3 linked regions of the Caenorhabditis elegans genome follow. The protein of the gene in region 3 interacts with the protein of the main gene of each other region in a pairwise test. Each region holds a gene or a part of one and is shown on either strand. Other genes may lie near its edges.

Region 1 (12,886 bases), on a different chromosome or scaffold from region 3:
AAATGGTTTTTAATCCCTATCCTTGAGAATAGAATGAAGGTGTGTCCTCATGGGGCGAGGCAATTTTATCCAGTTCTTTGGCAAGTTTTCTCCGTTTCATCTCTTATCTGTTCTTTCGATTTACCTGATCAGAGGAGGCATATAAAAGGAGACGAGATGAATGTGGAACACTATACTTTTCAAATTAGAAGCTTTTCCTTTTTCTTTTGAACTTGCTAACTTTATCTTTAAAACTTTTCTCAAAGTCTCTGTGTTTTCAGAAAATGGTAAAGGCCGTCGTCGGATTCGGCGCTGCATGCGGAATCTCTGCTATCGTTGCTTGCCTTTGGGCTGCACTTGTCATCACAAATGACATCAATGACATGTATGATGATGTGATGGGAGAGCTCGGAGGATTCAGAGATATCTCTGATGACACTTGGGGAACCCTTCTCGACGTTCGTCACGGAGCCGGAGAGTCTGCTGAGCAATACGTTCGTGGAATCTTCGGACGTCACAAGCGTTCCAACAGCCAATGCTCTTGCGGACTTCCATCTCAAGGATGCCCAGCCGGAGCTCCAGGAAACCCAGGAGCCCCAGGAGAGCCAGGAGGCACTGGACCAGACGGAAAGAACGGACCAACTGGACTTCCAGGACTTAACATTCCAATTCCAAATGACTTCCCTAAGGAGTGCATCAAGTGCCCAGCTGGACCACCAGGACAAGATGGACTTCCAGGACAAGAAGGATTCCAAGGACTTCCAGGAGACGCTGGAAAGCGTGGAACCCCAGGAAAGGACGGAGAGCCAGGACGTGTTGGAGATATTGGAGATCAAGGAACTCCAGGACAAGACGGACAACCAGGACTTGCTGGACCACCAGGACGCGATGGACTTACCGGAAAGGGACAACCAGGAGTCGCTGGACGCCCAGGAATGCCAGGACCACGTGGAGAGCCAGGAAACAACGGAAATCCAGGAGAGGAAGGACAAACTGGAGCCCAGGGACCAACTGGACAGCCAGGAAAGGACGGATTCAACGGAAACGACGGAACTCCAGGACAAGCTGGACCACAAGGAGCCGTTGGAGCCGATGCCGAATACTGCCCATGCCCAGAGAGAAAGCGCAGACGCGTCTAAACTGTTTTCGTATTCAAAAATAAATATTTATGTATTCAATTGAAGTTTATCACATTTTTTGAATAATTCTTTTTGAAAATACGATGGCAGGTCTCGACGCGACTGAAAGACGTAAGGGAGTTCGCGCCTTTAATGTATTTCTAACGCTCCGCCCCTGAAGATTAGGTCTCTTTAGGTATTAGGAGAACATGTTCTATTATTTTTATGCTTCATGAATTGATGCAAAAACAACTGAAAAAATTTACTTTTAAAAGAAAAAATGTTTGAAAATCGGCGAAAAAAATAGAAAACGTTTGAGTTTACAGTTTCGCCGCCTATATATATATATAGGGCCCCTATAGGGCGCGCGCCTAATACCTAACGAGACCCATGCTTCGGAGGCGGAGTGTGTACATTGGTTTTTTCTGCGTCCCTATAATAATTTTTCGAAATTGTTTTCTAATACTAAGTGAAAATAAATGGAAATTCGAAGTAAGAAGAAAACAATTTATGAAAATTGCACGTTTTGAGATTTCAAAAATGATTACGATTTATTTTTCGAAATTCGAAATTTTATAACAAAACTTCAATATCAAATATAGCTTTTCAATCGCGACAAGACCTGATTCCGCTTCTTCAAACTATTTAGATGATCTTTTGTAAGGCTTATCACGTTGTTATTTAATACTTCCGATTGACTATTTGCATAACTTCTCACGAGGTGCAGTATCTTATCAGCTACAAGATTCAATCTTATGATAGAACAATAACAGGACAAATGTTCATTATCATTTACAACTTCAATAGGGCAAATAGAAATTCAATAATAAATAAATAAAATCAGAAAATTGACAGCTTGCTCTGAATTAGACACTTCTTCTGACTGAGATTCTGGTGATAAAAAGAGGCGGGATCCTAAGGTGCTCATCGACCCGCAGGAGAGAAACTAAGGTCGATTAGTGAGGAAATACATTTTAAAAGATAAATCAACTAATAAAGAGGAAAGATGAATTGATGATGTTTGGTGATTTGTTTGAGGATTGAGATTGGAGATCGCAATTATTAATGACACGCATCGGTTTGGAACGAATCCGTCACTTCTCCATCACAATTTCGGAGTTGGAGAACTGCAAACAGCCAATGTCCAAATCCTGCTCCTAATACCACCGCAGCAGCTGAAAAAATACACAGAATTATTGATTTAAAACTAGAAATTTGTACTTACTTAGATAAGTGTTGTAAGTCATCACAATGAGCATGAGCCAATAGGCGAGCACCAATTGAAAAATGTACAAGAGCATCTGAATGAGCCGTTGAGGAGAGAATGGCGAAGTTGCAGGGGTCCTCGCTACCGAAGCCGATATCAGGAACGGTTCAGATTGAGGCTTGTTGCTCTGTGAGTGGGTAACCGATTGATGGCAAGTGCCTCCAGAAGACCGCGTTGTCTGAAGTGCAAACTAGGTCGGATAAGATATTTTTTAATGAAACATAGAGAAATATAAAATTACTTACCTCCACGCATGATTTGTTGGCAAGAACCTGAGCTTGTGTTTGCGTCATTTGCAGAAATACACGGAACCACTTGACACCTTCATATGTGGCGCCCATAATGAAAATAGCAGCACACGATAAAAGCATACCTGAAGAGTTGTTAAAATTAACTAACAGTTAAGAAATAAACTTGAATTGAATAATGAAAATCTTACCGAAAAGTGAATCCGTCCTCCAAAAATCGAATAGAATAACTTCTTCAAATCCTCCATGGAACCACATTTTCATCATATGTCCCTCGTGTCCACCATGACCTGCGTGTGATCCATGAGACGAATGTTCATGATGTTCATTTTGATCTTTTTCATCGGGCACAGGAACCGCTTCTACTTCTTTTCCAGCGAGCTCATCGAGAAAGTTGTCTGCAGCTTGTGCGTAAGCACTCTGAAATGCTAAATGTTAGATTTTTGAAGCAACTATTAAAATTAAACCTTATTTTCTGCAGCAGCAACCACCAAAGCCACAGCCAACCATCCTAGGATGGCCAATTGTGTACCCATGATCTGAAAATATATGACGTAACATGAAAATCAATAAAAATTGCGTTTAATATGACTAGAAGTTATACAAGATAACAATTTCAACTGCAGCTTCAACATTTTGCGACCTTTTATACGCAACCTGTCATGAACATGCATTTTATCGAGATGGAAAGTTTGCAAACAAGAAAACTCCACAAAAAAAATTGTCTAAAAATTGCAGCACCAAATGCGCTCTACTGAACTGACAGCCGGTGATTTGGCTGCGTACCTTGGCTTATGGTTAAGAGAGTGATACTCAGCCAACGACCGCCCTTTTTCTCTTGAAATTAGCTTTCAGTTCTTTTTTATCGAATTTCAGTTAAGTTTTTGTACTATTTTATGCGAATTTTTATCCCAAGCAAGCCTCTTTACCTATATTTGACTATTCTTCACGAAAAAGTATGTAAAAATCCACTCTTTATTATTTTTTTCTTAATTAAATTTAAAAAGTTGTTTTAATTAATTCGTTTGCTTGCATACATTTATTAAATTTAAATTTTGCCTAATTTCTTAATTTTGCAGGTAATGGCGCAACTCATGAAACGCGGATTCTCCACGAGCGCTGCTCTCGCTAAGGCTCAGCTGGTGAAGACCCCGATTCAGGTTCATGGAGTCGAGGGACGTTACGCCGCCGCTCTTTACTCAGCCGGACACAAACAGAACAAGCTCGACCAGATTTCCACAGATCTGAACAATGTTCGCTCCGTGTACAAGGACAACAAGAAGTTCCAAGAGTTCGTCCTCGACCCAACTCTCAAGGCCAACAAGAAGAAGACCGCCATCGAGGCTATCTCAACTAAATTGGGGCTTACCAAAGAGACTGGAAACTTCCTTGGTATTTTGTTAACGTGTAATTACAAATTTAATTGTAACTTTCAGGACTTTTGGCTGAGAACGGACGTCTGAACAAGCTCGAGTCAGTTGTTTCTTCATTCGAATCCATCATGCGCGCTCACCGTGGAGAACTTTTCGTTCAGGTACTTTTATTATAACTGCCAAGAAAAACAATGTTTCTTTTGAAATTTGTTTTCGTAAAATTATAAAATATGAATAGCGAATGTTTTCAATACGTAGAAATGGAAATTTTCAAGTCTAAATTTTAATCCTGAAGATGCTCGTACGTACCGTTTTAAAAACTAAAAATCATTTTCAGGTCACCTCCGCCGAAGAATTGAGCTCATCAAACCAGAAGGCATTGTCTGATGCCCTTAGCAAGATCGGAAAGTCTGGACAAAAGCTCACGGTGACTTATGCCGTCAAGCCATCGATTCTTGGAGGACTTGTTGTCACTATCGGAGACAAGTACGTCGATCTGTCGATCGCTTCCCGTGTCAAGAAATACAAGGATGCCCTTGCCACCGCCATCTAAATTTTTCCCAAAAAATTTAGTTCCTCATCCCGATTTTCAATCTGTGCTTCAAACCAGTTCCCTGCCTCATCATACCCAATCATTGAAGATGGTGTTTTAAAGAGTTGTTTAGTAATCGGTTTTATGTATTGTCTTCATTTTCTAGTGGGTCATAACATCAGCAGTGTAATTGTTTGTTCCAGAATTTTAAGTTTCTTTATTGTACTCTCAACAAATAAATAAATAGATCTGTGAAAAATTTCAATTATATTGACCTCGTTCTGTCGGTTACCATTTACTTCTTAATAATGTTTTGAAAGAAAACAGAATAAAATTATAGAAATTTGAGAAACAGAAATGAGTGATGACTCGGATCTTGATGACGTTGCTCATCAGAAGCTTCTGCAATCAATTCACACACCTGGAACTGTAAAGAAAAATCGTCTGAAGAAAGCATCAAAAACAAAAACCGACGCAACTTCTCTTCTATCTCATCTTACAGTTTCAAGGTATTTGAAAAACAAATTTTTTTTTAAATTTAGGATTTTTGCAATTTTACAGACCTTCAACCAACAAAGCCAAGCAAAGTCTCGGAATTGGTGGCCTAGAGTCGACAGAAAAAACAGGAAAGAAGCGAAAATCGGAAGCAACAGCAGATGAAACAACTACGAAAAAGAAGCTGAAAAGCAAAACATTAATTCCTCTAAAAGATGTTGAAGCTCGAAAGGAGATTGAAGGAAAAATTGCGTTCACTGATTTGAAGTGAGATTATTGATTTGTGATTTAATTAATAAGATATTTTTACAGAAAAGAAGTGACACAAAATTGGACAGAGCTCGTTCAAAGCAACCGCGTCAGTGATCAATTGATCTTCCCTCTCACAAAACCGGATGGAATTATGTGGGGTGTAAGTTGTTGCTTCCAAATTAAACTGTTCTAAAATTTAATAAAAGTGGAAAAATTGCTCCTAATAATTATTTTCGTTCAGGACGAGAAAACCGAGCCCGTACTGACCGAAAAGGAGATGGAATTGATGAAGGCTACAGATATTAAAATGGCAAAAGATCGTCTTTCACAAATGCAACGAATGCGTGCTATTGTTGGAATCCAAGAGGCCAAGAATCGATATATGAAGAAAATCAAATCGAAAGGATATCATCGAATTCTAAAAAGAGAAAAACGAAAACAACTTTTAAAAGAGTTTGATGATTTGGTTGCTCGTGATCCATCCGCTGCTCATGAAAAACTTGCCGAAATGGATTTACAGCGAATCATGGAAAGAGGAAGTTTGAAGCATCGCGGACAGAATCAGAAATTCAAACAGATGCTGGAAAAACATGCTAGCCGAAATCCAGAGGTCAAAAAATTGCTCGATGAGCATTTGAGGTTAGATATTAATTTTGGAACAAAAATTTTAAAATGGGAATATTTTTTCAGAATGGGAAGAGAATTAAAAGCAAAAGTCGCAACTACCGCTGAAGATTCTGATGGTGAAGCTCCAACTTCAACGGAAGATCCACAAAATAAAAAGAAGAGTATTCATGAGTTAATCAAGGTAAGTGAGACATAAACTACTAATTCATTAGACGGATTCAAGTTCTCAATAAGCTTTCTTCTTATCTGCACCGAAAACATCTTGATTGAGACCAGCCAGGGTTTGGTAGTTCGGGTCATGAGTTGCAGCCTTAGCACCATGTTGAGCAGGAGCTTTTGGTGGAGCTGGTGCACCATTTCCTCCTCCTCCACCTCCACCAACACCACCTTTTTGATCGAACACGTTGTTATTCAAACCAGCAAGAGTCTGATAGTTTGGATCGTGTGTTGCAGCCATTCCAGGTTTACCTCCTGCTGCTGGAGCCTGTGGTCCTGCTCCACCACCACCTTTCTTATCGAAAACATTATCATTCAAGCCGGCAAGAGTTTGATAGTTAGGATCATGAGTTCCGGCCATTCCTGGTTTTCCGTCCGGAGCTTTTGGAGCAGCTCCACCACCACCACCGCCTTGTTTTTGCTCAAAAACGTTATCGTTCAATCCGGCCAATGTCTGGTAGTTGGGATCATGGGTGTCAGCAATTGCAGCACGATTTTTCGGAGGCTTTGGAGCTCCGGCAGGAATCTTTCCCTTTTCCTTGGCTGCTGCTTTTTTCTTTTTTGCCGCAATCGCATCGTTTTTCTTCTTTTTACGACGCTTTTCATCATCCTCATCATCGTCATCATCATCACCTCCAGTAGTTCCTCCAGTTGTTCCTGTTTCATCTGAGTATTTTTTCTTTCCTTTCGACTTCTTCCCGCAGTTCACCAGAATAGCTGCCGGAACTGTCCAACACAGAGCAAGTTGCAGAAGTATCATAAAAATTGGCTGAAATTTTTATATTTTTTGGATTTTTTAGTTTTCAAACAATACCTGTAAACCAAATAACTCCATGCTCATCATTTGTGATATAGTTATCGATATATCCACAACTGTAGTTTGAGATCGAAGAAATAAAAATAAAAGAGTTATCAAGTAGAGGATTTTGAAAAATGATGATTTATTCTTCACGTAGTAACATTCTATTTTTTAAAATTTTATATTTAAAATTAATTTTAAAAAATTTCAGGATGCCGCCCAAGAAGCGGAGAAAGAATCCAGAAAACAAGTTGGCACGGCTCTAGTTGATACTTTCCTCGAAGACTCCGATGCTCAAAAAGTGACACTTGCTCAGATGCGAGCCAAGAAACGACAAGAAGCTGCTATAACTCGAAGTATTTCAGCGAATACTGGTGCATCACGTGAAAATCCTCTATTCGACGTCGATGACACTTGGCAAGAGAAAGAAGATGCGAAAAAGGCAAAGCAGAAGAAAAAGAAGCTACTAAAAGCGAAGGAGTCAGCGAGAAAAGGAACAATTGGAAAAGTATCATATGTTGATAAGAATTATGATCCGAAGATGGAGGCTAAACGTGCAGAAACTTTTGATGAAAAAGTGGAAAAGGCAGTGGATTCAGCTGGAGTGCATGCCGCTGAAAAACGACAAAAGGAAATTGAAATCGATCCGAGCAAATTTCTAGAGCTCAACACAAACGACTTGACACAAGTTTCGTCGGATTTTGTTGAGAAAATGGATCAGTTTGATGAAGGTAAGCTTAATCTTTTTTTTTCTTTTTATTAACTATATTCCAACGATTTTTTCCTGCAGAAGCCGCTCAAGTTATCAATGAAGCTTTCAAGGATGATGACGTCATTGGAGATTTTGAAGATATGAAAGAAGGAGTGAAAGAAAAGGAAAAAGTTAAAGATGTAGATCTCAATTTGGCCGGATGGGGCTCATGGGTTGGACCAGGAATGACTGAGAAGAAGCGACGCCAAAACTTTGTGATTAAAGCAAAAGAGAAGAGAAGAAGGGACGGAGAGAGAAACGGAGTAATTATTGCTGAAAATATGACGGCTAAGGATGTAAGCACCTGATATATCTCCTAGATTTTTTAATTGCAAAAATGAGCTTTCAGGGTATCGGAAAGATCCAGCCACGTTCTCTACCATTCCCCTACTCCCGAGTTGAAGACTATGAGGCTGTGCTAAAACAACCGTTGGGTCTTGAATGGAATATGGAGAAGATGCGAGATGAGTTGTGCAAACCTGCGGTTGTTGTTGAGGTAAGCTTTATTATATTTTACAGTTTTATTGAACATGAAAATTATGTTGAAACAAAGAGAAGGAGAAGAGAACCGTGAACAGTGGAAAAAAACGAGTGAAAACAAGGAAAGAAAGGCATTGGACTGGGAGTGTGTGATGGGTTGGACCTGAATTGTTTCAAACAAAAAAAAAGTTGATAAAACAACAGATGAAGTGGTTATAAGTAGGGAAAACATGAATAATTTAAAAATAATTAGTTTTGATCATCCGAACTAGACGAAGATCTTGCGAAGTCAATGACATGGCAACGATTCCTCCAAATCAACGAAAACGTTTTCTTCCGTGGTGATTCCTCGAGCGTACTCGTACATTATGACATACAAAGCATGATCATCGAGCATATCGTAGTCTTCCTTCTCGTCCAGTTGTTCCTTGGAAGATGCTTCCACCTCTGCAGGCTCTAAAGTCTCTAGCTTCTCTGGTACAGCTGGTTCTTCTTGTTGTGGAACCTCTACGAGTTCGACTGGAGTAGTGTCTTCAGTAACCGCGTTGACAAGTGTTCCGACGGTTTCAGCTGCAGATGTGACCATTTCTGATACGGAATTCCAGATGGAGGTTGCATAGGAGAAGTAAGACATTTTGAGAACTTGTGGTTCTGAAAATGAAATAAGTTTTAGTCATTTTAGATAAGGAAAATATGAATAGAAGGGCTGAGGAAACAAACACGCAATTTCATAATCTATTGTGCCAAAAAAGGGATAGTTACGAAATCGAGGTAATATGGAAATCAAACTACATAGAAGAAATTAAGAACATAGAGCCTAGGTAAAAAAAACGACGGACGACTGAACACCCAACGTATGGCAGGCTGCCAAATAGGCGTGACTGTGCACAAAAACGCTCGATCTGATGTAACAGTATACACCTTTGTAATCAATAACTTTCTGGCGGCTAACGAGACCATTTGATTATTATTCCAACATAGTAGAGGAAGAGAAGAGACAATATAGAGTCCCAGAATATGGATCAATATAATAGGTTTTTGAGAGTTGGTCTTTTTAAATTTGGTTTAGAAATAAGTTTCGATAAGTTTTTAAAGAATACAATTTTTAAAATCTTCATATTATTTAAAAATGTAAATCGAAAATAATGAAAGAAGAAACTGTATATATTAGAGAATCGAGTAGTAGTAGTGTTTAGAGAATTAGAGATAAAAAAATACAGTACCCCTATGAGACTCAGTGCAACCTTGCATATGCTCCCCTAAAATCATATGCAACTATTTGGTTTTTTTTAAAATCAAATTGCACAATATTTCGAATTTTCAGCCGAAAGAAAAATTCAAAAATTCTTGCAACTTTTGTTCACAATAAATTTTTTCAAAACTGATTTTGATATAATTTCGGAATAGGGACCACTTTTTACATTTGAGACAGCTCTTTTCGATTTTAAAATATTTAGAAAGGTGTATAATGTCACAAAATATAAGCGAACATCTATCATCTGTGCATATATATGCACTGGCACGGGAGACAGGAACCGAACGGCACATGTGACGAGTTCATTTTGATGTCACAAGCTTTTCCCTTTTTCGTTAAAAAAAAAGTAGACTATAAAAACAAACAAACACTGTTCTAACAAGAAAATATGCAAAAATGAACACGCAAACTGGCGAATGTTGTTCGAGTTGTAATAGGTTGCGAAATTAACCGATAAGAAGCTCGATATTCTGTTATTAATAGATTTTTTACATTAAGTATTGCCCATGATTTCTAACACCTCAAATCCCTGTTGTCTTTGAAATTTCTTGTCTGAAGTAGTTTTTATTGCCAAGGACATTGTAGAATTGATCACGTACGAAAGTTTATTGTGAAACATTGTGAAAACCGGTAAATATTACCGAAAACATGACATAAATTGGACAGTAATATTAAAATAGACCCGAACATGTATAGGATTTCTTCGTTCATCCCAGATCATTTGGAATTCTTCATCCACTCGTAGTTGTTTTGCACCATCTCAAATTGATTGTGCCTGATTGGACCCGTCTCGTCTGGATTCTCATGGATCACTTCCCATTCGATCGATGTATTTGGTGACGATGCTCCTATCGCCTCCTGGTGAACATCCTCTGTCGTCTCCTTTTTATCCTCTTGAAGATCAGACGACGCCGCCGCCGCCCCTTGTTGCTCCCATGAGAAGACTTCAGAAGAAGCCGTGGCATCCTCTGAGCCAGATCCCCACTCGAGAGCAGTCTGACTGATTTGTGTTAGAGCCTGTGTTGCTCCTTCGGCAAGTGCAGAAGCTCCTCCAACAAGGTTCGCTGCCTGTTCTGTGACTGCTGGGACGACGGTTGTGGACATGAAGGTGTAGAGTCCATTGACGATGGAGTTCATTGTTTAGTTGTAGTTTTCTGAAAAAAAATAATATATACAAAGAGACAAGTTAGACCGGCAACGGAAGGAAAAAAGAATGAAAGTGAAAGTTCGAACGGAGTAGGATTTACAACAGGATTGACTTCATAAAAATTTAAATCAAGTGCATGTATTTTATCCTAGTGTACTATCTGCCTAGATTTTTTGAATCTAGGTGTAATATTTACGGAAAAAAAAGAAAATGAAGAGACAAAGTAGATATATCTCCGATGTGCTCTTTCTACCACCAGAATGCGAATGGCAACTAATGACTAGTAACAGAATAAGAAAGACGAGAAGATGAAGAGGAACGCTGTGTTGTCCTTACGTTCTTCCTATGTCTCTTTCTCTTTTCTCGTATCGGACAATCCCTCCCCTTAGATGTGTGCGCGCGCGCTGCTTCTCTCTCTCTATTCACGTTTATGAGAGAACGAGTCATATTATAGATTGTGTATGTTGGTTAGAATGAGACGCAGGAAACCGAATGCTCCCAAACGGGTGCAGGTCATCTTTTTGTGTAGAGGTTGGTGGGTGTTCATATAGATCGGAGAAAGAATGACGAAAAATGATTGACAAGAGAATACATATTTGGATTGGCTCACACCTGTATTAATTGAAGAAGATCAGTGAGCTAGCGAGGAAATTTGAATAACTTTTAAAAATAGCAAGAAAACTTCTAAAGATTATCATTGAAGAGGAGCAATTTTCTAGACGTTTTAGTTACAGTAATCCCTGTGTTACAGCAAATCTTGTCTCCTCTTCCAAAAAACCATTACAGTAATCATAAATATTGGAATTATTTGAAATCAACCAACAAAACTTGCAATTGAAAATTGTTAGAATCTATTTAGAAAGAAATAAAAACATCAAATATATGTTTACACCATGACGAGTCACTAAAACTAATCGAGTTGTTGACTGAAAGTAATTCAAAATCATCGTTCGGCGCCGTACATTCTGCTGGGTTTTCACACGTTCCTATTACATTGATAAGAACTTGAAATGTTTCAAAACATTGTTGAAGCTCGAAAGAAAATCGATGATGTGTGTGTTGCTTCTAGGGACAGCTTTTCCTCACTCAGCTGTGAAATGCTCTTCTTCTCCTTCTCTTACTTCTTTTCTCCAACTATTTTCACATTTTTCCCCTCATGAGTTACTAGACACAAATTTTGAATAAAATTTCTCTATTTATAATATTTATATTTTCAGGCTGGAAGAGCTATTCGTCCAATCAACAAGAAGCATCTACTCGGAGAATAATTGGAAGAATTGTTAATTTTTTGTTGATTTTTTAAAAAAACTTTATTGTTGGTTTTCTCTCTTTGAAGTGTCACCTGAAATGTTCGTTGTTGTTAATTTTATATGTTTTCTTTACGGTGAAAGTTTAATTGAGACCATTTTCTCATTATTTTCTCAATTTTACATTTCCTGTAATTCTTTAAATGAAAAACAAATTTTTTAAAAAATAATTCAATTATAATCAGTTTTTTCGTTATGGTGGATATCCCCAGCAATTTATTTGAAATTTGAAAATATAATTTTTGTTGTTAAAATAATATTTTGAAAAAGTTGGCAACGAAACCCAAAGTTTTGAAATTTTGAAATAAAAATCTCAAAAAAATGTCTGCTTTTCGCTTTCGAAAGTATTTAAAATTTAATTTTTTAGGGTATTTCTCTATTTAATCATGTCTCATTAAAATCAACATTAAATATTGAACTATTCTTCATTTTTCCAGATATTTTCTAGAATTGTTTTTTTTTATTTTTAAAAACATTTTTTGTCGGTTAAAAACCACTAAAGATTTTGAAAAAAAAATTTTCCATACTTCAATTTTTTAATAAACGAAAAATTTGGTTTAAAAAAATCTGAAAACACTGCAACAACAAGTTTTTCTGACAAATTTCTCACAAGAACCTGCACCTTCACTATTTTTGAGAAAATAAACCCCAAAACGTTTTTTTTTTCGATGTTCAGTTTTAACCAAAAAAAAAAGGTTTTGATTTTTTTAAATTCGAACAAAAATTTATATTTTTCGGTTTTGAAAGAAGAAGTGAATCTCGGTGATCAGCACGGAATGGCACATGCTCTCAGAGAGATACAAGCACACAGTATTCTCATGAAAAATCGTTTGTAAAGCTGCCCCATCCACGCCCAATTCTCATCGCCAGTCAGCTTTTTCTCCACTTTTCGTTTGCTCTTTTCCGTGTGCTCACTCACTCACCCTGCGCCTCTTCTGATTCAGCGTCTGTGTCTCTTATAATTCAACACTTTTTCCACTATTTTTAATACCCCGGGCGGTTTGTGTGACCAATGCTGGCCAAAAAGTACACGTGTCTTT
Region 2 (7,281 bases), on a different chromosome or scaffold from region 3:
GACGCATTTAAAATATGCGAGGGATTTAGTGTTTCTCAGTTTCTTGTTCGGAACAATTTCAGTATGTTTTCAATGATCATGATTTTTATAAACGTGATGGAATGAAAATTATTCTTTCTGTTCCTAATGCATTTTAAAACTGAACTATTTCGCAATGTGTATATAACTATTTATCAAAAAACTTTGTTAGTTTGTTTTCACTTCTTTTTATTTTGATGCTTAAAAACCCCATGACTAATAATAATAGTACGTCATATTCTTTTAAAAAACACTTATCAATGTCAAAATAAAGGTGGGCTTGACTAATTTTACTTTGTTATCTTTTTTCTGACGTAATTCTTGCCGAGTTCGGTTTAAATAGCAAGCCATGCTGACATTTTAGCATCAATTCAGCATTTCTACACAGGACTTTCCAGTTTTCCCACTTCAACTTTAACTCTTCAACGTTTTCCTATTTGCATTTTGCTATAACTTCGCTAAACTTTATTCTTCAGAAAATGTCGTACTACGGAAACGGAGGATACAATCCTTATGGAGCATCTGGATATGCACCACCACCGGTCTACGGAGCTCCAGGATATATGCCACCACAAACTGTTCATGTCCATACTGATGGAGGACATCATCATGGTCACCACCATCACCACCATGGATTTCTTCATGAGTTGGGACATGCCATGACTGGGCACCATCATCATCATCACGGCCATCATCACGGACATCATTATTAAGATGACTCTTTTTCAATTTTTTATATGCCTGGTTTTCGTTTCACTAAAGCCTACTAGTGAATAAAATCATTTGCAACTGTTGTACAAAGTCATGGATTTTTGTTTGTAAAATAATAAAACTGAAGAAGTTTTCCGCTTGCTACGGTCATTCTAACGTATTTCCTCAATAAGTAGTGCATTTCTATTACGAGACAATTGGAAATGTTTGGAACCTCTATTCATTAACGAAAACGCAATTCCAAATTTTATTGAGAGTGAACAACGATAAATTTTTCCTAGAACTAAATATTCCTTGTTATTGGTGAAAACTTTTTAAGCCCCTGTTTTCAATTATCAAAAGCTGATTGAAATCATATTTTAAAAAGGGAATTACCTGATGAAAAACTTTGTGTTTTTGAAGCTTTGAAATTTGAAAATAATTATAAAAATTAGTTTACGTTATAATTAAGTGAATAACTTCTACTTTGATACTTCGATATTGGCACTCACTTCAAAATAACATTATTCTGTGTATTTCAAACTTACAGTTAGAAAAAAAAACGTAAAAACAAAAACGCATGTTTCGTTGAATTTAAATGTGTCTAAACGTTGTACACAACAGATAATGTTCAATTAATACTTCAATCGTTTCCGACTTTGAAATCATTGTTCACCCAAACACTTATCGAACAACAACAAAAAATGTACATTAGTGATCAAATCTTAGGATTTTTAAAGAAGCCGCTATAATCTTCACTTTAGTTTTTCAATTATGTTAATTCAAAATTGCACCTATTTGACATGTTTTACTTTTTCTCCTAGTTGATCCCGCATTTAAAATATTTTATGGTCTGACTGCAATACCGATTAGAAGCGGAGCCATCGTAAAACACAATAAATGTTCGGTCAAAAGAATTTGTATTTGCTCATACCGTACCTCTCAGACGTTTCATTTTTGTTCCTTAAATCATTCCTTGAGTTTTGTCCTTGAACTACGGTGAAGCTAACAAAACATAAAATCAGACTGATAAGAAGTGTCAAGTCACATAAAACGCAAAGCGTGCTTAAAAATAAATCGTAATCTTTAGTGTGCACATGACATTTTAATGTCATGTTTTGTATTCGGTCTTTTCAGAATTGCTTTAAAATTGCTAATAGCTTAGGCTTTTGGGAAATGTCAGAATTTTGAATGCTAAATCAAAAAATCAAAACAAAACGAAAAATCAAATCAAATCATGATTCGAATTTGGAACTTTGAAATTTCAAAGACTTCAAAGGAGAATAAACAGCTAGACAAAAAACTGAACTGAAAAAATCAATATATTTTTAATTTTTGAAGGATTTATTCGCTTAACAAAAGTCGCAAGAAGAAATTATTTTTTCTGAAATATTGTAAGTGAGAGAATGCTGTATGGAGCTTTGGATAAAGTTAAACTTGACGGTCCCACTATTGGCAAAACTATTTGAATTTTATGTTACACCGAATAAATTTGATGAAGTCTGAAAATTGCCGTGCTTATTTGTTTTACGCGTTTAGGAAAATTTTGTTATTTTTAAATTAAAAAATTAAAAACAAAAAGGGATAACAGTTCCAAATAGATTTTCCATGGTTTATGCTTTTTGTTAAATCTTTTTGCAAAATCTTTTTCAAATAAACTGTAAAGCATTTATTGTTAGTAGGATCATATGGGAAGGTTAACAGCTTAGTGCAAAAATTTTACAAAATTGCATCACATTTAATGATGTCCATGGTGTCCATGATGATGATGGCTTTCATAATGGCTTTCGTAGTGTCCTCCGTGATGTCCTCCATGGTGTCCTCCATGATGGTGGCTGTCATGGTGGTGATGGGTGTCCATATGTCCGTGGTGTCCTCCGTCAGTGTGGACATGAACAGTTGGTGGCATGTATCCTGGAGCTCCGTGGACTGGTGGTGGAGCATATCCTCCGTGTCCTCCGTATGGAGCGTTGTATCCTCCGTTTCCGTAGTACGACATTATTTCTAAAAATCAATAAGTTAGTAAAAAAGGATTGGTAAAATAATGTACATCAAGAAATAAGATAAAAAGAAGATTTTGAACAGTTTTGAAAAATAGGTTTATCCAAAAAAGGACCTATTTTTAGATGGAAAGCTGAAAAACTGATGGAGTATGGTCTTCGCGTTTGAGTATTTGAGCAATCTATTCAATGGAGGACACACGTCATAAGTGATAAAACGTTTAAATTATCATGCGCTGGTGGCATTTGGCCCTCCTCCATTTTTTGACGCTCGATAAGTTTATAAGAGGGTGTGATGATATTTTTGTTTGCCTTATTTGTTAGTCACCTTTCTTGTTCAAAACGACAAAGAAGCTCAAACAAACTAAAGGAGCGGAACGGGTGTTACTCATAGGCCAAATGGGAGAGAATGATCCAGAAGACCAGTTCCTCCCTCATGATGTTGAAGTATGATGAAAATGATCGTCACATTGGAAAGTTTTTTAAAACAATAATATTTTTTGTTTCATACATGTTATATCAAATGGGTTGAACATTTTGATAATAAAATAGTGATCAGATCAGATATCTTTTGAGATATTGTAAGACATGCGATGCGCATTCTACGAGCGAACCTTTGTTATTTTCCGATGTTTCCATTAATGTAATAGTCTGACGTTTTCATTTGACGTGTTCTTAAAATATCACTGAATTTCTCAAAATAAAATAAAATCACAACCTATGCGTGACACGTTGAATATTAGTAATTGCAGTAGAAAAAAAACAGAGTAAAACAGTCCTTGTCAACAATAAAACATTGAAATCAAGTTATATCTCAAGTATTTAGATCAATAAGTTTTTCAGATTTTTGGAACACTTGTGACACTCAATAAATTATCCATTGTACACGTATCCGTGGCTTTGTCATTTGCTTTTCACGTATATTCGTTGCGAGGGACTGTTTTTTGACCAAAAAGCAATATCAAAAGAGCATGATAGACTATTTGAGTCGTAATTCAACCCAATATGATCATTTTTATTTGTGTGTTTTCCGTAGACAATATAATTGACTTGTTTTCCTTAGTTACAGTTGTCAGGGTATTTATTTTGGGCTCAGTTACTTCTTTAAAACAATTATTTTTGATTGGAAATTAGTCTTTGTTCTAAAGGTAAACTGTTTGTCAATTAGTTCCTGTTAAATTCTAGTATGCATTTAATAATTCTTCAGTGCTTAATGTCAAATTGGCTGCACGGAAAGGTTAAGCGTTTCTTTCTTGATAGGTTGGGCAGATAACACATTGGAAACTGAACTTTACACTAGACAAATGTCAGTATCGAATAACTTTATTGGGTTTTGTGTTCACAAACAACTGAATGAAAAAAGAACTGAATCAATAATATATCTATTATGGAATGGGACCAAGTCTTTCTGAAAAGATTATCTATCTTCGTCACAGAAATTAAAATGAATAATTTTTTAAAAGAGTTATTTCATTTTTGTTGTAAAAACTCTTCCGAATGCATTATGTTCAACATAACTAATTGGTATATTCTGTAAAATTATTATATTTTTGTAATGAATGGACGAAGCATATGTGAACACTTATCCTTTCGGATAAGTTTCTTTCTTTTTTCTTTCTTCCTTTAATAACGGTAGGCAATAATAAAAGGATTTATTGATGTAAATAATAAAAATAAACAGAAAATATCAGTCGAAGCGCTTTAGAAGGAAATTATATCATATCTCTACATCAACATACATCCTACATCAAACATACATCTACTGAGTTCTCTTGGGTTTTTATATGGATTGGAATAATATGTAAATGAACACATAAGAGGTGATTAGCATCTAATATGTTAATCGGAATTAACAATACAGGAGAAAACTATTTGATATTATTGATATTTGATCATCGAAAGAGAGGTCTTTCGACACTCCCAAGAAAGTGAAGAAAGGAAAAGAGAAGAAAGAGCTAGACATAAAATTAGTGATAGTCTAACGAAAATTAAGATTTTGTTCCTTACTGATTGTGAACGAGAATATTTGGCCTGACAATCCAATTGAACTGCTGTTGACACCACTGCTCTAATATTTCTTTGTGTCACACTGTACTTCCGACAATGCGGATTGATTCTCTACATCAACATACATCCACATTGATTTTTTTGATTTTTTTGATTCTCCCCAGTTTTTGATTCGACAGCATATGACCAGGAGTGAATGACCAACAATATTTTCGAGCAAAGGGAAACTTCGCATTTGTCGAAATTGAGAATTAATGGAAAATGTCGGCTAATCGTTGTAACATTCGGCAACATATGATTTTTCGAACATCGAAAACTTCCATTTTTCATACTTCAAAATTTAACGCATCGTTCAACAGTTGCTATTAATGGCTAAAGATAGACGATTGGCTAAAATTAATATTTCCAGCAGATCAACGATTTATTTATTTTATTTGGTGTTACTTACCGTTTTCATTACTTCGGAAAATATATAGTTGAAATATAAGGGAACTGGGGACGAACAGAATTGGAAAATGATAGAATGATGTTTCAGGTTGATAATAATGTTCAAACCCATGTACCCAATGTGTTAATCATAGAATCCATTCAGAGTCAATACATTTGCAAAAAATTTCTTCAGAACATTTATCCTAGTCGAAGAACTGGAAACGTCTACTCTGTAATCTAATGTAAATATGTATATATCACACGTCGCTAAAAGAACTACACACCACTTTGAAGAAACATTTATATTCACAAATGTACAAAATTGAAAACATTATTTGAAAACAGTAAATCATTGTTCTTAGTAGGATCAAATGGGAAAGTTTACAGATTTTTTTTTAAATTTTTTAAAAAATTGCATCAGACTTAATGATGTCCATGGTGTCCACCATGATGATGGCTTTCGTGGTGACTCTCGTAGTGTTGTACTCCATGGTGTCCTCCATGATGTTCTCCATGGTGACTCTCTTCATGGTGATGGGTGTCAACGTGTCCGTGATGTCCTCCGTCAGTGTGAACAACAGTTGGTGGCATGTATCCTGGAGCTCCATGGACTGGTGGTGGAGCATATCCTCCGTGTCCTCCGTATGGAGCGTTGTATCCTCCGTTTCCGTGGTACGACATTATTTCTGAAAATATATTGATCAATAAATGAAATGAGTGAGATATATAATCACAAACAAATAAAGTAAAATAAAAAGGTGAATTTTCCAGAAGTGAAGCTGAACAACTGATAGAGCATGGTAACCACGTTCGAGTATTTATAGAAATTTTTTTCAATAGTACGTCACAAGAGATAAAGATGGAACTATCATGTGCTGGCGGTATTTGGCCCTCCCCCATTTTTGACGCCCGATCAGTTTGCGATAGAGTATGATGATATTTTTGTTTGCCTTCGTCACTGTCTTCGTTTAACACGACAAAGAAGTTCAAACCTACTAGGGAGCGGAACAAAGATTAGTCATAGGTCAAATGGGAGGAAATGATCCAGAAGATCAGTTCCTCCCTCATGATGTTGAAGTATGATGAAACTGATCATTGCCACATTCATTGAAGAAATTTACTGAAACAATAATATTTTTTATTGCATTTCATCGTGTGGTTAAAATATATCTAGAAATGTGATATGTACTAGCATTATTACATGTTAATTTATTTTGTATACTTGATCAATTAAAAGTGTTTTTGTTAATTCACGCTCTGAAAATAAAGCTAAATGGGAGACGATTTTTCAATCATAGAACAACGAACATATGATTACGTTAGAAGATATTGGAAATTTTAGGTTGAAAGTAAATCAGTAAAAAATATTTTTAAAAACAGAGCTCATTTATCAAATTAACTCAAGTTTTTTAATGATTTTTTTTCTAATTTAAGATTGCCTTGCTTGACATTTTTCAGAACTTCAATTTGACTTGTTATTTGTGTGGTCAATCGACCTGTGCTCTTTATTAAACTAGTTTTGCTTCTACCTGCTTCAATTATCTTGGTTTTCCTTATAAAATATGTTAATTTAGGCTTTTGCAAATCAAAATTTATTGTGTTCAAGTTTGGAAAGCAATTACCCATTAATATTCAACGTTTTTAAATTAATTCCTGTTGAACTCTATGATATTTAGTACTGAATGTCAAACGTTGGCATTAAAAAATTGAACGTTTCCTGATAGTGAAACAGATGAAAATAGAGGATTTAAACTAAAAAAATACAGGTAGTTAAAATTTTGTCGGCTGTATTGTTTTCTTTCAAGAATATAAGTAAAAAAAACAAACTCATTCATACTGTTCATACATATTTCATTGTGAAACAAATTAAGTGTTTTCTAAAAGAAAAATCTCCAATCAGAACATGAAATCTCTTAAGAACCTATGTATGTACAAGTTGTTCTGTTACGGAAAACTTTAGTTGCGAAGAACAACTTAGTTTTGATGTTTCACTTGAATGTTCAGTAAAATTCTTTGCAACGTTTTTGATAATACATAGAAGCTAACACTTGTCATACTTTTACTAGTCCCATATGCGTTGCATTTGTTAAACACTTGTTCAGCTGTTTGCAAAAATTGGAGAGCATTGACAAACCTG
Region 3 (12,640 bases):
TGACCACTATGCCTAGGCCTGAGCCTAAGCCTAAGCCTATGCCTAAGTCTAAGCCTAAGCCTAAGCCTAAGGTTAAGCCTAAGCCTAAGACTAAGCCTAAGCCTAAGACTAAGCCTAATCCTAAGCCTGAGCATAAGTCTAAGACTAAGCCTAAGCTTCCGAATTATTTTCTCGAATATCTAAAAAACCAGCGAACCAAAATGGAAAGTTATATGTATATTTTCGCCCCAGCCAAAACGAGAGAAATGAAATTTTTGTTTCGCTTATTTTTTAGTTTGTGGGCGGGGGGGGGGGGGGGGGGGGCTTAGTAGGACCCCCCTTCGGCTCCCTTCAACAACCTCCACACCGCCAAAATTCGATTTTTGACGACCGCCCCACCAATGCTCCTTGGCCATGGGGGTCTGAAGAAGCAGTTTTGTTAGTAAAAAATGGAGAAAAAAGTTTTCGAAACGGGGGGCGGCAGTATTTTTTCTTCTAGTTTTTCGTGTCCAGAGGGAAAATAATGGTGGCTTATTGTTTTCTTTCTTGCTCGGGAAGAATAATTTTTCGTTTTTTTTTTTTGGTTTTGAAAAAGTATTCCTCTTTTTCTTGAACACCATACATATTTACCGCAAAATTTAGGTTTCAAAGTTTAGTTAGTTTCTAGTTCAAAGAAGTTTGGCGTCTGGTGGACTCGAACCCGTGACCTCTGGAACAGAGGTCCAACTCACTACCGACTGCGCCATGCGACCAAGCCTACCGGTGAATTGTCCCCTTAAAATTTTGCGTTTTGCGCGTCAAATATGGTGTATTGGGCTCGGCGTCACATTTTTGCGAATACTATTTCTAATGCCCCATAATTTATAGACATGGTGCATCTACAAAATCTAATGTTTGAGTGAACCAATTTCTGAGTACAAGCCTTGAAAAATTTCAGCAAAAAAAAATGTTGACCTACCAATTATGCCCGCCAAAACCCTTGTTTATCTAGATTTCCGCATAATTTTTTCCAAATTTTTCAACAAAAAAAAAATTATGCTCTGCTACAACATCATTTCTTTCCCATGAAACTTGAAACTTTTGAGAGGTTTCTTTTTTTTTTGAAAATACTATTCTCTGCACCAAGAACTCCAAATTTTTGCGCGTGCTCTCAATAATTCCAAAAAAAAAAATTGAAAAAGGGGGCAGAGAGAGAGTGGGATTAGTGAAATTTTATATTTATATGCCAAAAAATGCGGGAGACTGAGAGAGAGAGCAAACAATTTTTTTCCTGCTTTTTGGCTACTCAGGAAACATAACAGCTGCCTGAAGATTTTTTTTCTCTAAAAACTTTAATTGGATATTTTCATTAACCTTGTCTTTTTCCCCCAGCAATTCGGGTCACCCCCTCGGCCACCCACACCACGGTGGTGGCCTAGAAATTTAAAATAGTTAGAACTCCGCTATTTTTTAACGGGCTTGGCTGAAAAATTACCAGAATACTCTATAGGTCAAACTCTGTGAGTTAAAACTCCAAAAAAAAAAAAAAAAAAAAAAATACAAAATCCAAAAAAAAGAACGTTTTTGACCTACCGTACCGGCCGCCAGGATATTTTCGTATTTTCCCAAAAAATTTCTTCATTTTTATTAACGATCATCACGAAAAGTTTTACGATCATCAATGTTGTGTTATCCGTCCAGATGACTATTTCCTCCCCCCTCCATCGCCGTGGAAGCTGATGGGGAGAAAATGATGGGAAAATTAGTTTTTTTTTCTTCATCTCTCTATTCATTTTCTGTTCATTCGGAGTAGTTCCAAAGTTTTTGTTTTTAATTATTTTGTTTCCTAGGATTTTATGAACATATTTTTCTCCGTTCCTTCTTTTTTCTGATCAAATTACTCAGCTTCATAAGGAGCTCAGACTTATTGTCGAGCATTTGAAAATTTGCGCGTCAAATATGGTGCATTGACGTAAAAATGTGGATTTTAACGATGCACCATGTTTTACATGCAATTTTTTGTGGAGATTGAAAAATACCGAAAAATTGAGTTTTTGAATTGTTCCTCACAGCAATTTTATCATCTTTTCAATCTCTTTCTCTATTAAAATATATTGGTATTGAGTGGACTCGAACCCGTGACCTTCCGAACATCAATCCCCACCACTACCGACTGAGCCACTCGGGACAAGAGCCGCGCGTAGACTGTGCCACATCAAAACTTGCGCGTCAAATATGGTGTAATCATTTTAAGCCACCAACAACTACCGTAGCCCTCACAACTATATATCTAAAATCATATAAAATCCTCAAATCTGTTTAGTCGAATTAATATTATATATCAAAACTAGTCTCTCTATATATGTAGGCCTCTCTCTCTCTCCCACGAAAAGATAAAGTGATTCCTTAGGCGAGATGGGTTTTTTGAAAGAAAATAGGCAATTAATTTCGAATCGCCGCTCCGACCAAATGCCCCCCGTCCGTCCGTCCGTCCGTTCATCCTGACTTCGTTCACTTTTCCAACCAATTATAGGCGATCGTAAAAATACAGCTTTTTGGAGGGAAGAAGCTGAGAGGACACTCTCTCCGCCCCAGCATATATATATATATATATATATATATATATATATATAATATAATAACAGCCACCTCCTCCCCTTAGTTCTTCTGGATTTACTATATCGTTTTGTCGGAGCGGGCGGTGCGCGCCCGCGCGCCGGAGGCGTACCGTTAGCTTTTTCACATTTTTCGTCCAATTTTTCGTCCAATCATTTGTCGAAAAATATACGGTAGCTTGATTTTTTCAGTTACTATTTCCTCCGTATTTCTACAGTAGGTAGGCGCACCTATATACCTTCAGTTTACCTTATTACCACAATGGTAATTTCTCTTTTTCTACCTTTGAACCGATTTCAACATATCGTATCTCACGTGCAAATTTTTTTTCCATGGCACGGACTCGAACCCCCGACCTTCCGAACACCAACCCCAACCACTACCGACTGAGCCACATGAGCCGAGTTGTCCATTGTATCTTATCTAATCTTGCGCGTCAAATATGGTGTTTGGGGCTTTTCTACTAACATTTTTTTCGCTGCGAAACCCAGTTTCGGTTTCAGCTAACTAATTTGCTTTAAAATAAACGTCGTTTTTTTTGTCTTATTTGTTGTGATGAATACAATAAACATTTATGATGTCTTCTCCCCCTCCTCTTTTTCTTCTAAAAAAGAAGACGTTACCAGTTCTGACAATTTTTCCATTCCTCCCCCCCCCCCCCCCCCTCTTCTATTCCATTTACATCAGATATACACATACAGTAGCAGTAGTATAAATGTGTATGCATCTCCTTTTTATTTTTGTATGTAATAAGAAGAAGCGCTCGTTCTTCCTCTCCGATATTTGTTAATTTACACACACAGAGAGGGATGACAGAATTCTTGTATTTTGGGAGGGTGAGGAGATGAATGAATAAAAAAACAAGTCTTTTTACATTCCAAAACCATTTATTCCATAGTATTTTCAATTTGCTTTTAGAGAACATTTTTCAATTTTAGTAGGCGGCTTTGTGGTGCTTTGAGTTTAGAGTCAAGTTAGGGTACTGTAGAACTTGCGCGTAGGATGTGGTGTTTTCCTATGTGTGTGTGTACTATCTGAAAATGTATTTCTTGGGGTACGGTAGTTTTGCGCGTAGGATGTGGTGTCTTCTTGTGTGCACCTTGTGTACAGGGTACATGGGTACAAGGGTACATCAGTGTAAACGCGCTCTATTGATAATTGCAGTTTAGCCAGGTTTGGGCGCGTTTTAAGGAAAAAAGCTTTGGTCCAAAAAATTTTGAATTTAATTTCGAGCATTTTTTATATGCATCACAAAAAACTGGACCAGCCGTTTTTGACAAAAACGCGCCCAAACGTCCAGGGGTACGGTAGACAAATTGCGCACAGGTACCACTTCTCGGGCCGTGTCATATCCATGGGGTACTGTAGTTTTTGCGCATAGGATTCAATGTTTTTGTCCGCTCTTTCAGAAAATGAGTTTCTTGGGGTACTGTAGATCTTGCGCGTAGGATGCGATGCATTTATTCTGTGGACTAGCAATGATAGGGAACCCCACAGTACTGTAGACTTTGCGCGTAAAATCGGGTGTTTTTGTGCGTTTCAGAAATTTGTTTCTCTTGATATACTGTAGAACTTGCTCGTGGGATGTGGTGTCTTCTTGTGTGCACTATCATACTCATGGGGTACTGTAGTTTTTGCGCGTAGGATATGTTTTTTTTCTTCTGTGAGCTACGAACAATACAACTATTTTTTTGACCTACAATTTTGATCTACCTTTTCCTAACACTTTTTTATTAATCTGTTTTTTTGTTTTCCAAACTCACCTTCTCTTATTTCCATTATTTCTAAATTTTTAACAATCTCCTTTTCCAGAATGACATCGCTTCTCGGAGGCAACTTCACAGAAGCTCTGCACACAGTGCTTTCCAATCAGCTTAACGTCATGTCGCAAAAGACGTCGGATTCCGAGGCTCCAACGACATTCAGCTCATCGTCTTCAAGTGATTCACCGCCATATGACCCAATGTCGCTGGTTTCTGCAGGAATTTCTGATCAAAATGGATTAATGGACATGTTCAAGGATGGATTGGTGAGTTAAAAGTTTTTTCTCTGCAATAAAAAGTTTCGACCAATTAGCGACGTCCGAGTGGGCGTGGCCAACGGCGTTGATTGGTCGGACTGGTTTTCCGCCATGCGAGCTGCAATTTCTTTTAAAAATGACAAAATAAGAAATAATTTTCAGTTTGCCACACTCGTACCACCAACAGATGTCGCGAATTCGGACACGGCGAGCTCCGAGTCACCGGAGCCAGCGGCTCAATCGCATGAGGCTGCCGAGGAAACAGGAGGAACAGAAGAGGTTGGTGAAAATGTGAAAAAATTTTTTTTGAAAAATGCAAATTCTTCTCTTTCTCGTTCTGTTCACCTATCCAATATGAGTCAGAGAGAAGACAGAAATTTCAATATTGAATTTTAAATTTTGAAAAAAAATTGAATTTTTCCCCACCCTGTACTCTATTTTATTTATTTTTCGTTTTTCTCATCTTCAAAAAAAATTTAATATTTTTTCAGCAACAAGCCGCCGCCCTCTCACTGATCCAATCATTCGGCACGCCGATCCCATCAAAATTCGAAGACATTGAATCCCAGTTCTTCTCCGAGGCCACAATTCGTGACCTGATGCCTGTTCTCGCGTCTGTACAAGGATCCCCACCACACAATCAGAATCAGCTCAGCTTCGGATCCACGTCATCACCGTCGGCGTGGGCGAGGAATGCCGGAAGGAAGAAGTCGCATCCAGTTTGGGATTTCTTTAAGGATATGAAGGATAGCAGTGAGTTTTTTTATTGGTTTTTGTGGCAAGTGTGCTCTATTGGACTCTGCGTTTCTACTGCCTAAATTTGGAAAATTCTTAGAATACGTATTACGCGACATATTTGACGCGCAAAATATCTCGTAGCGAAAACTACTGTAGCGCTTGTGTCGATTTACGGGGTCAATTTTTGAAATTTTTGAAAAAAATATTTAAGAATATTAAAAATCTGCAAAAAATAAGTAAATTATACGAAAAAATTAAAAAAAAAAAGAATTCATTTCAAAAATTGAGCCCATAATTCGACACAAGCGCTAAAGTAGTCATGTAAAGAATTACTGTAGTTTTCGCTGCGAGATATTTTGCGCGTCAAATATGTTGCGCAGTACGCATTCTCAGAATTTTGAGTTCCCGTAATAACTGTGAAAATGTATAATTTTTTGTAAATGTTTGTAAATTAGAAAAAAATTGTTTCGACATTTTCGCGTTTTCTAGCAAAATTCATTGGTTTTTAAAAGATTTTTCTAAAAACATTTGCGTTCTGGAATACCAAAATTTTCAGACATTTTTTTCTGCTGAAAAATGGAAAAAAAGATGAAATTATGTAAACATTTATTTTTAGGCCAATTTTGAAGTTGAAAAAATGTCTGAAAATCTGAAAAACAGTAGTTATTCAAGTCAAATAAATTTTGAAAATAGGCTATAAGTTTTCGCGGGAATTTGAATATACCAATTTTTAATTAAAAACAAAATAAATTCTCAGATTTTATTCGGCAAGTACGGCCTATTTTCCATAATTTATTTTTAAAAATAATTTCCATAAAAATTAAAATGTTTGTTATAATTTTTATGAGAATCCACTGTAGTGGAAAAACCAATTAAGGAAAACATTTTGAAATTCTCAGAAACAAAAAAGAATCTCGGATATCCGCGCAAATTTCGGGGAAATTTGTTCTAATAATTATTTTTTCCATACCATCACCGAATTAAAAGCAACACTAGAGGTACAAAAATATAAAAACAACCAAAATTTTGCAGCCGGTGCCGGTGGAGTCATCTGCCTACACTGCTCGTGGAGCGGCGACGATCGGAGCCCGAACAACCTGCGAACACATCTCAAGAAGTTTCATTCGGACGACGGGATTTTCAATCGATTCAGCGAGAAGTTGGCTAAGGTGGGGTGGCGGTTTTTTATGTTTTTGAATTGGAAATTTTGTTTTAAAAACTGATTACTGGGTACTGAGCCTGCCTGCCTGCCGCCAATTCTCTGCAGTGTAGGCGCGAGGCAGGCAGGTCATGTTTGGAACGGCCTAGTTTTTAACTGGTGGTGCACGGCTCCCCAAATTTTCAGAGATCACATAGCGGGGAAATGGGTGCTGTAGCTTTAAAGGAATACCATGATTTTTTTTTGTACTGAACTAGGGTATAAAGCCCCCACTCATAATAAGGGGCCAAATGTTGACACGGTCCCCCTCACACCAAAATATGAGAGGGGGGGGGCACCTGTGTAAAAGTACCCTTCTATTTCTCCACAAGAGTCGGGGGGGGGGCACTCCGATCACATTTCGATGACCTCGAATCCCCCGCGTGATGAGAGGACAAGTGCGCGCCGCGCGCTCCCCCCGACCGACCACCCCCGACTGGCCGACAGTCCATAGGGCGACCCAAAAATGGAAAAGTGGACCGTCATCACACACAACAGGATCTTCCACCATCTCTTCCTCTCTCTCTCTCTCTCTCTCCGTCATCTCGGGGCGCTCGCGGTCTCTCTTTATTAGCACAGGCAGCAGCAGTAGTGTGTTTGTGTCTCTCGAAGACACTATCCCAATGCTTTCCCGTCCCGTTTGCTTTTCACATTCCCGACCTCTCCGAGACCTACCGCATTGGGGAAGAAAAAGGAAGCAAAGATGGAGACGGGGGGCGGGTCCCCCGCCGCGGGGGTTTTTTTGCCGGCCAAGCCCCAGTCTAGGTCTCCTGCCGCCCCGTGTTCACTAGCCCCCGCCGTCGCCCCGCTCCTCCGGTACTCTCTTTTCCCCCCGTTGTTGGATAGTTGGAGGGGAGGGGGGGGGGGGGGGGAAGACCTCCTTCCCCCTTCTTCTTCTTCCATTCCGAAAGAGACGGGGCGCGGCCCCCTTCGTCCTTTTTCATCTACCCCTGTCATCATCATCGTCGTCGTGTCTTCTTTTTTCGTCTTCATCTCCTCCTTATTCTTCGCCTTCTCATTTTCTCATTTTGCGTCCCCCCCCCCCCTGGTCTACCCTAACTAACAACTGGATTTTTGGATCTGACGAGATGTTATTTTTAGCCCCGGCCCCCCACCCGGGCTTGTGATTTTTTTCCGGGCTCATTTTGTAGTCCGGGGAGCCAAAAATTTTGAATTCGTCGCCAAGTTGGGCTGCGGTCGGAAAAAATCTGAAAATTTTAAATTTTTCGCTAAATTAGTTCGACCCTTTTTTGAGATGAAAAATCCACAATAAGTTTTGAACAAATTGGACTAAAAACTCGAATATCTCGTCCGTCATCCACTTTCTGACGGGAATTTCTAATTTTGCTCCAAAAATGAGCCCCAAAATTTTTTTTTTTTCGGTCATCAGAGGTCCGATTTTTTAGTCCCTAAAACTTTAGGGCCCCAAAACTTTAGTCCACCACCCCAAAAATTGAGGTGCTTCTCCCCCCGTCCAAAAATTGTTCCTCCTCTCCACAACCGCCGTATGTGAGAGTATTTGTGTACATGTGGGCGGTGTGTGTACGACGAGGCGGGTCCCCCCGTGTCTACCGCTCGTGCCCCGTTTTGACGCTCCTCTCATCTCTTCGTCTCTTCTTCTTCAACACTACCTCTCCTCTCGTCTCTAGTTCCACGGGGCCTTTCCGTTCTGTTATCGATTCACCCCGTCGTCTCGGGGCTTTTTGCGAGACAGAGAGAGACACATACACCGCCCTCCCTACTCCAGCGCCGGCGGGGAGAAAGACGCGACCGGCCACACTCCTCTTTTCATTTTCCCCCACACAACCACAACTTTTGTGGTTGACTGTCTCCAAAACATATACCTTTTCGATTTTTTCCCTCGTTCTTTTCCTCGCTCTCAACTTTCTTCCTTCCGACAGTACCACTCATATAAATCCAGATGGCCCGTCGAAAGCAACAAGAGTCCACGCTAGTCATAGATCCGTCCCACTCCAAGGATGACTCGGCATTCTTCGAGGGATCCTCCGGCTCCGATGCTCCCTCCACAATCGACACCACACAGCTCATGGCTCTTCTTGAGCAATCTGCTGCTGCCGCCGCCGCCGCAGCCGCCGCCTCATCCAGCGAAAACCCCATCACCTCATCCTTGCTCAAAAAAGATCGTACCACCACCACCACCACCGAAAAAGAGCTCTCCCCGTTGACAGCGGCGCGCGCCAGTGAGATCCTGTTCGCCGCAGGAATGCGACCACACAAGAAGACCTCAGAAATCTGGGAGCATTATAAATGTCTTAACGAGAAGCAGAATGTTGAGTGCATCTATTGTTGGAAGGTTCTCAAGCGGAATGATAGTAGTACCAAATCAATGTGGGGTCATATGAATGCATATCATCAGGATATTTTGAGAGATGGCACCACCCGAAAGAAGGTCAAGAGACCCGCGAACGGATTGGATTTTGATGAGGTACCTCTTGCTACAGTACCCAGTCTATCCAAAAGTATCAAACAATAAAAAAATATATTAAAAAATTTAATTTCTAACTGATATATTGTATACTTAAGAGACTTAACTCTTATCTCATTCCAGACTCCAACCCAACCGTACGTGAAGCGTGTCCGTGGCGGAGCCGGATCCAGCTCCTCGCTGCCCTCCATGGTAAAAATGGACCAAAAGCCCATGCTCGACTCGATGGCCTTCCTGCAACAACTTCAGCAATCGGGATCCCTGACAGAAGCCGACTTCTCCTCATTTGCCAACGGTTCCTCACTCAACTTCCTCGACTCGTTGCCCAAATCCTCAGAGGTGATCAACATTAACAGTGGATTTGTGAAGAAGGAGGAGATGGAGGAAGACACTGAAAATCATGTGGAGGTGAGTGGCTTATCAGTGTTAAGAGGCGACGGGGAGGGGGACACGTCAATGTGCTCGGGCAGAAATTGACAGGAAATATTTGGGAAGGGGGACCTGATAAGGACCCCAAAATTGATAAGGGTTCATGGAAATTTTGGGGAAACTGCCCATTCGAAGAGTATGATAGAATTTGAGCGCTTATTTAAATGGGCAGGGACTGCGCCCGACACCTACCGGGTTAGCGGAACCCGGCAGTTGTCGGGCGCTGAAAAACAAAGTGCGATTTTCTTAGGAAAGCTTTTTGATGTAAGTGGCTGCACCCGACATCTACCGGGTTCCGCCACAGAAGCAGCTGGCGCTTGGAACCCTCTAGATGTCGGACGCTCGAAAAATCTACAAAAAATTTACGAAAAAACAGGGACCGACATCTAACGGGTTTCTTGGACCGCCCTACTTTTTAACTTTCAGTGCGGAACCCGGTAGTTGTCGGGCCGTGCATATTAGGAACACCCTAGAGACTATTTTCTTAACCCAAAAAATTTCAGGCCGCATCCTCCTCAAGCTCCGATGAGCGCATCAAGTCAGAAACCCCAGACACATATGGATCGCCGAACACCTCCACCACTGATCAGAATGAGCAACTCGCCGCCTTCGTGAGCAGTCTCTCTAACTCCAATCCAATGATGTTCGCGATGCTCAACGCGGCCGGCAACTCGACATCCTCGGCACCAGCACCTCCAAAATCGAGCACAAGCCAACAAAGATCCAGCTCACCACCATCCGCGCACGACACATCGAATGGTTCAATGTCACCGTCAAAAGTGGACAAGGATCCATCGTCGTTCTCACTGAGCGAGGGACACTGTGCCGCTCAGCTCATGTCGATGGCACTTGACTTGGAAATGACAATGTCCTATCACAAACGACGATCCGAGATTGAGCTGTGTTTTGAGAGCAATCGGACTGTCGATGAGTCACAGGGAGCCGCTTCTCGAAAAGTTATATGTTTGACTGATCTTGGAAAGGAGATCAAGTGAGTTTAGCGTAAAACATCGGAAATTTTCGGCTCTAAAATTGAAAAAAAAGAGTCTGTGAAAGGGGGCGGGGTTTGAAACTTTCACGACCATTAAATGGGCGGAGCCTATAAGTCACGCCCATAACGTAGGATCGTCTAAAAAACTTAACAACAAAATCACAAAACTTTATCCCTACATTTTTAAGGAAATCGCTAATAGTAATTATTTTTTCCTGACAAAAAGTGGTTAAAAGTACGCGGATCCTGCAAGCCACGCCCATCACTATGGGCGGAGCTTATTTGAAATTTCCAACTATCTGGGCGGAGTCACAGAAACTCGTCAATTACCTAAATTTCAGAAATTCCTTTAAAAATTCCGAAAATCAGTTTTTTTTTAAATTTGAAAATTTTTGAAAAAATAAAGAAATAAATTTTCGAATTTTTTCCGAAAAATTTTCTCCGAAATCTCTCAACTATACATTGTACCTAAAATTCCAAATAATCATTTACTTATTTTCAGAATTACGGAACGAATAAACGGAAGCGTAAAAGACACGGAACTTTGGGTGAAGACGGATTTCAATCAATTCCATTGGGCGATACGTGGAAAATGTCAAAAATGTTTTAATAAGAATAGCTCTTAATTTATCGATTACCTGTTATTAATATATATCGTCGCTTTATTACAACCATTCCTTTTCTTAAAAATTTTAAACTATAATACATATATTCCTCTTTGCAAATGATGAGACGTCTCTTGTCTCTTGTCTCAGCAGCCGACGCTTCCCGGGTTCCGCCACTTGTAGTGAAACCCCGCAGCAGCCGACGCTCTCCACAACCCGTGAGACGTCGGCCGCCTGGGCCAAGAGACGTCTCGTCGCCAACCCACTCTTTCCTCATGCGCTGGTCGTTTTTGTGTACACTCTAATATACCTGACACACACTTTTGTGCCCTATTCCCCCCAAATAAAAAACTACTCAAAAAAATTTTCCTTATCAAGATTACGGTAATATTGTCACGCCCCCTTAAATATCATGAACATTTCCATCGCCCCTTCCGCCTAACTAGGAACTTTATACCTTTATTTTATTACAAAAAATGCCTTCTCTCTGTGTTTTATAAATTTGAAAACATAAATTTTAATTGTTTATTTTTCTTGTTGTTTTATGAAATAACTTTTCAGAAAACTTAGGCTCCGTTCCTTTAATGGTGCCGGGAATAAAACAATTTGGCGCGAGTACAAATTTTAGTTTTTCAAATGCATTTTGGCGGGAACTCTAAATTTTTTGGTTCAATAATTTTGGTGGAAATTCAAAATTTAATTTTTCCAATATTCATTTCGGCAGGAATTAAAAGGAATTAAAGACAGGATTTCTGATTTTTAATTAAAAAAAAAATCGATCAAATTTGAATTTTTTAAATTGAAATTTTGGCGGGAATTCAAAATGAAATTTTTGTGCAAATTTTGGATTTTTTTTTGGTGATTCAAATTTTAATATATTCGAAAAAAAAAACGTTCTAGCCGAAAAGTTCAAATTTAATTTTTTATTGAGTTTCTGCACGGATTTCTGCACGGGCGATTGTCAATGGAGCGCGAAAAATTCAACGAGGAAGACCAGAACACCATGATTTTAGCGGAAATTTTAATTTTAAATTTTTCAAACAGTCGTCAGCGAGAATTTAAAATTTAATTTTCTATAAACGTTTTGGCGGGAGTTCAAAATATATTTTACCAATTATTTTGCGAGAATTCAACATTTAAATTTATTGAAAAGTTTTGGCGGGAATTTTTAAAATTATTAAATTTTTAAATTTTTAAACCCTTATAGTATAAAAAATTGGACGGAGCTTGGAAGCCACACCCTTTTCATGGCCATTATTAGGGCGGAGCGTCACAATAATATTATTAGAGGCAAAATAATTTAAAAAATTTATTACTAGAAACTTCTAGAAAGTTAAAAAAAAAATGGTAGTCTAAAAAAAAACTAAAAAACAACAGAAAAATGAAAATGTATTCATATGCAAGAAGAGAATGTGATTGACCCGTTGGGTACACATGGGGAGGAAAGTTTGACACCTGAAAAACACTAAGCATTTTAAGACAATTTAGGCAATTAATCCACGTAGGCACAAAAATGCCTACCTGCGTGCCTACAAGGCGCAGTCATACGTGGAGAAAAATACAGAGATCGGGGTTGGAGAGATGACGAGCAAGGCACGACAAAAAGAGAAAAACTGGGAGAAGAAAAGGTGTGATATGA

Evidence for each region.
Region 1: the proteins of bed-2 (region 3) and utp-14 interact in a two-hybrid assay, tested with the Caenorhabditis elegans proteins (one large-scale study listed by BioGRID).
Region 2: the proteins of bed-2 (region 3) and F53A9.6 interact in a two-hybrid assay, tested with the Caenorhabditis elegans proteins (one large-scale study listed by BioGRID).

The regions. Positions count from the first base shown.
Region 1 is NC_003279.8:5,420,429-5,433,314, reverse strand, and holds utp-14 (Small-subunit processome), read left to right. Parts: upstream 1-4,857; 5' UTR 4,858-4,874; coding exon 4,875-5,026; intron 5,027-5,078; coding exon 5,079-5,279; intron 5,280-5,324; coding exon 5,325-5,424; intron 5,425-5,505; coding exon 5,506-5,903; intron 5,904-5,954; coding exon 5,955-6,072; intron 6,073-6,085; exon of another isoform or gene 6,086-6,117; coding exon of another isoform or gene 6,118-6,876; intron 6,877-6,921; coding exon of another isoform or gene 6,922-6,951; exon of another isoform or gene 6,952-7,042; intron 7,043-7,117; coding exon 7,118-7,637; intron 7,638-7,696; coding exon 7,697-7,953; intron 7,954-8,006; coding exon 8,007-8,153; intron 8,154-10,109; coding exon of another isoform or gene 10,110-10,529; intron 10,530-11,756; coding exon 11,757-11,807; 3' UTR 11,808-12,005; downstream 12,006-12,886. Other genes in the region: Cuticle collagen dpy-5, read left to right, coding at 264-1,118; F27C1.2 (Copper transport protein), read right to left, coding at 2,160-2,272, 2,323-2,554, 2,610-2,737, 2,804-3,032, 3,080-3,148; atp-3 (Oligomycin sensitivity conferral protein), read left to right, coding at 3,509-3,568, 3,692-4,004, 4,049-4,146, 4,323-4,538; F27C1.3 (Dauer Up-Regulated), read right to left, coding at 6,118-6,876, 6,922-6,951; F27C1.4 (uncharacterized protein), read right to left, coding at 10,110-10,529; erp-44.1 (Thioredoxin domain-containing protein), read left to right, coding at 12,623-12,674.
Region 2 is NC_003284.9:8,711,098-8,718,378, forward strand, and holds F53A9.6 (Spore coat protein), read right to left. Parts: upstream 2,708-7,281; coding exon 2,447-2,707; downstream 1-2,446. Other genes in the region: F53A9.1 (Spore coat protein), read left to right, coding at 498-731; F53A9.7 (Threonine dehydratase), read right to left, coding at 5,568-5,825.
Region 3 is NC_003281.10:11,462,553-11,475,192, reverse strand, and holds bed-2 (BED-type domain-containing protein), read left to right. Parts: upstream 1-4,384; 5' UTR 4,385-4,387; coding exon 4,388-4,603; intron 4,604-4,756; coding exon 4,757-4,873; intron 4,874-5,085; coding exon 5,086-5,347; intron 5,348-6,364; coding exon 6,365-6,501; intron 6,502-7,203; exon of another isoform or gene 7,204-7,386; intron 7,387-7,431; exon of another isoform or gene 7,432-7,550; intron 7,551-7,572; exon of another isoform or gene 7,573-7,744; intron 7,745-8,451; coding exon of another isoform or gene 8,452-8,976; intron 8,977-9,099; coding exon 9,100-9,384; intron 9,385-9,908; coding exon 9,909-10,396; intron 10,397-10,898; coding exon 10,899-11,022; 3' UTR 11,023-11,528; downstream 11,529-12,640.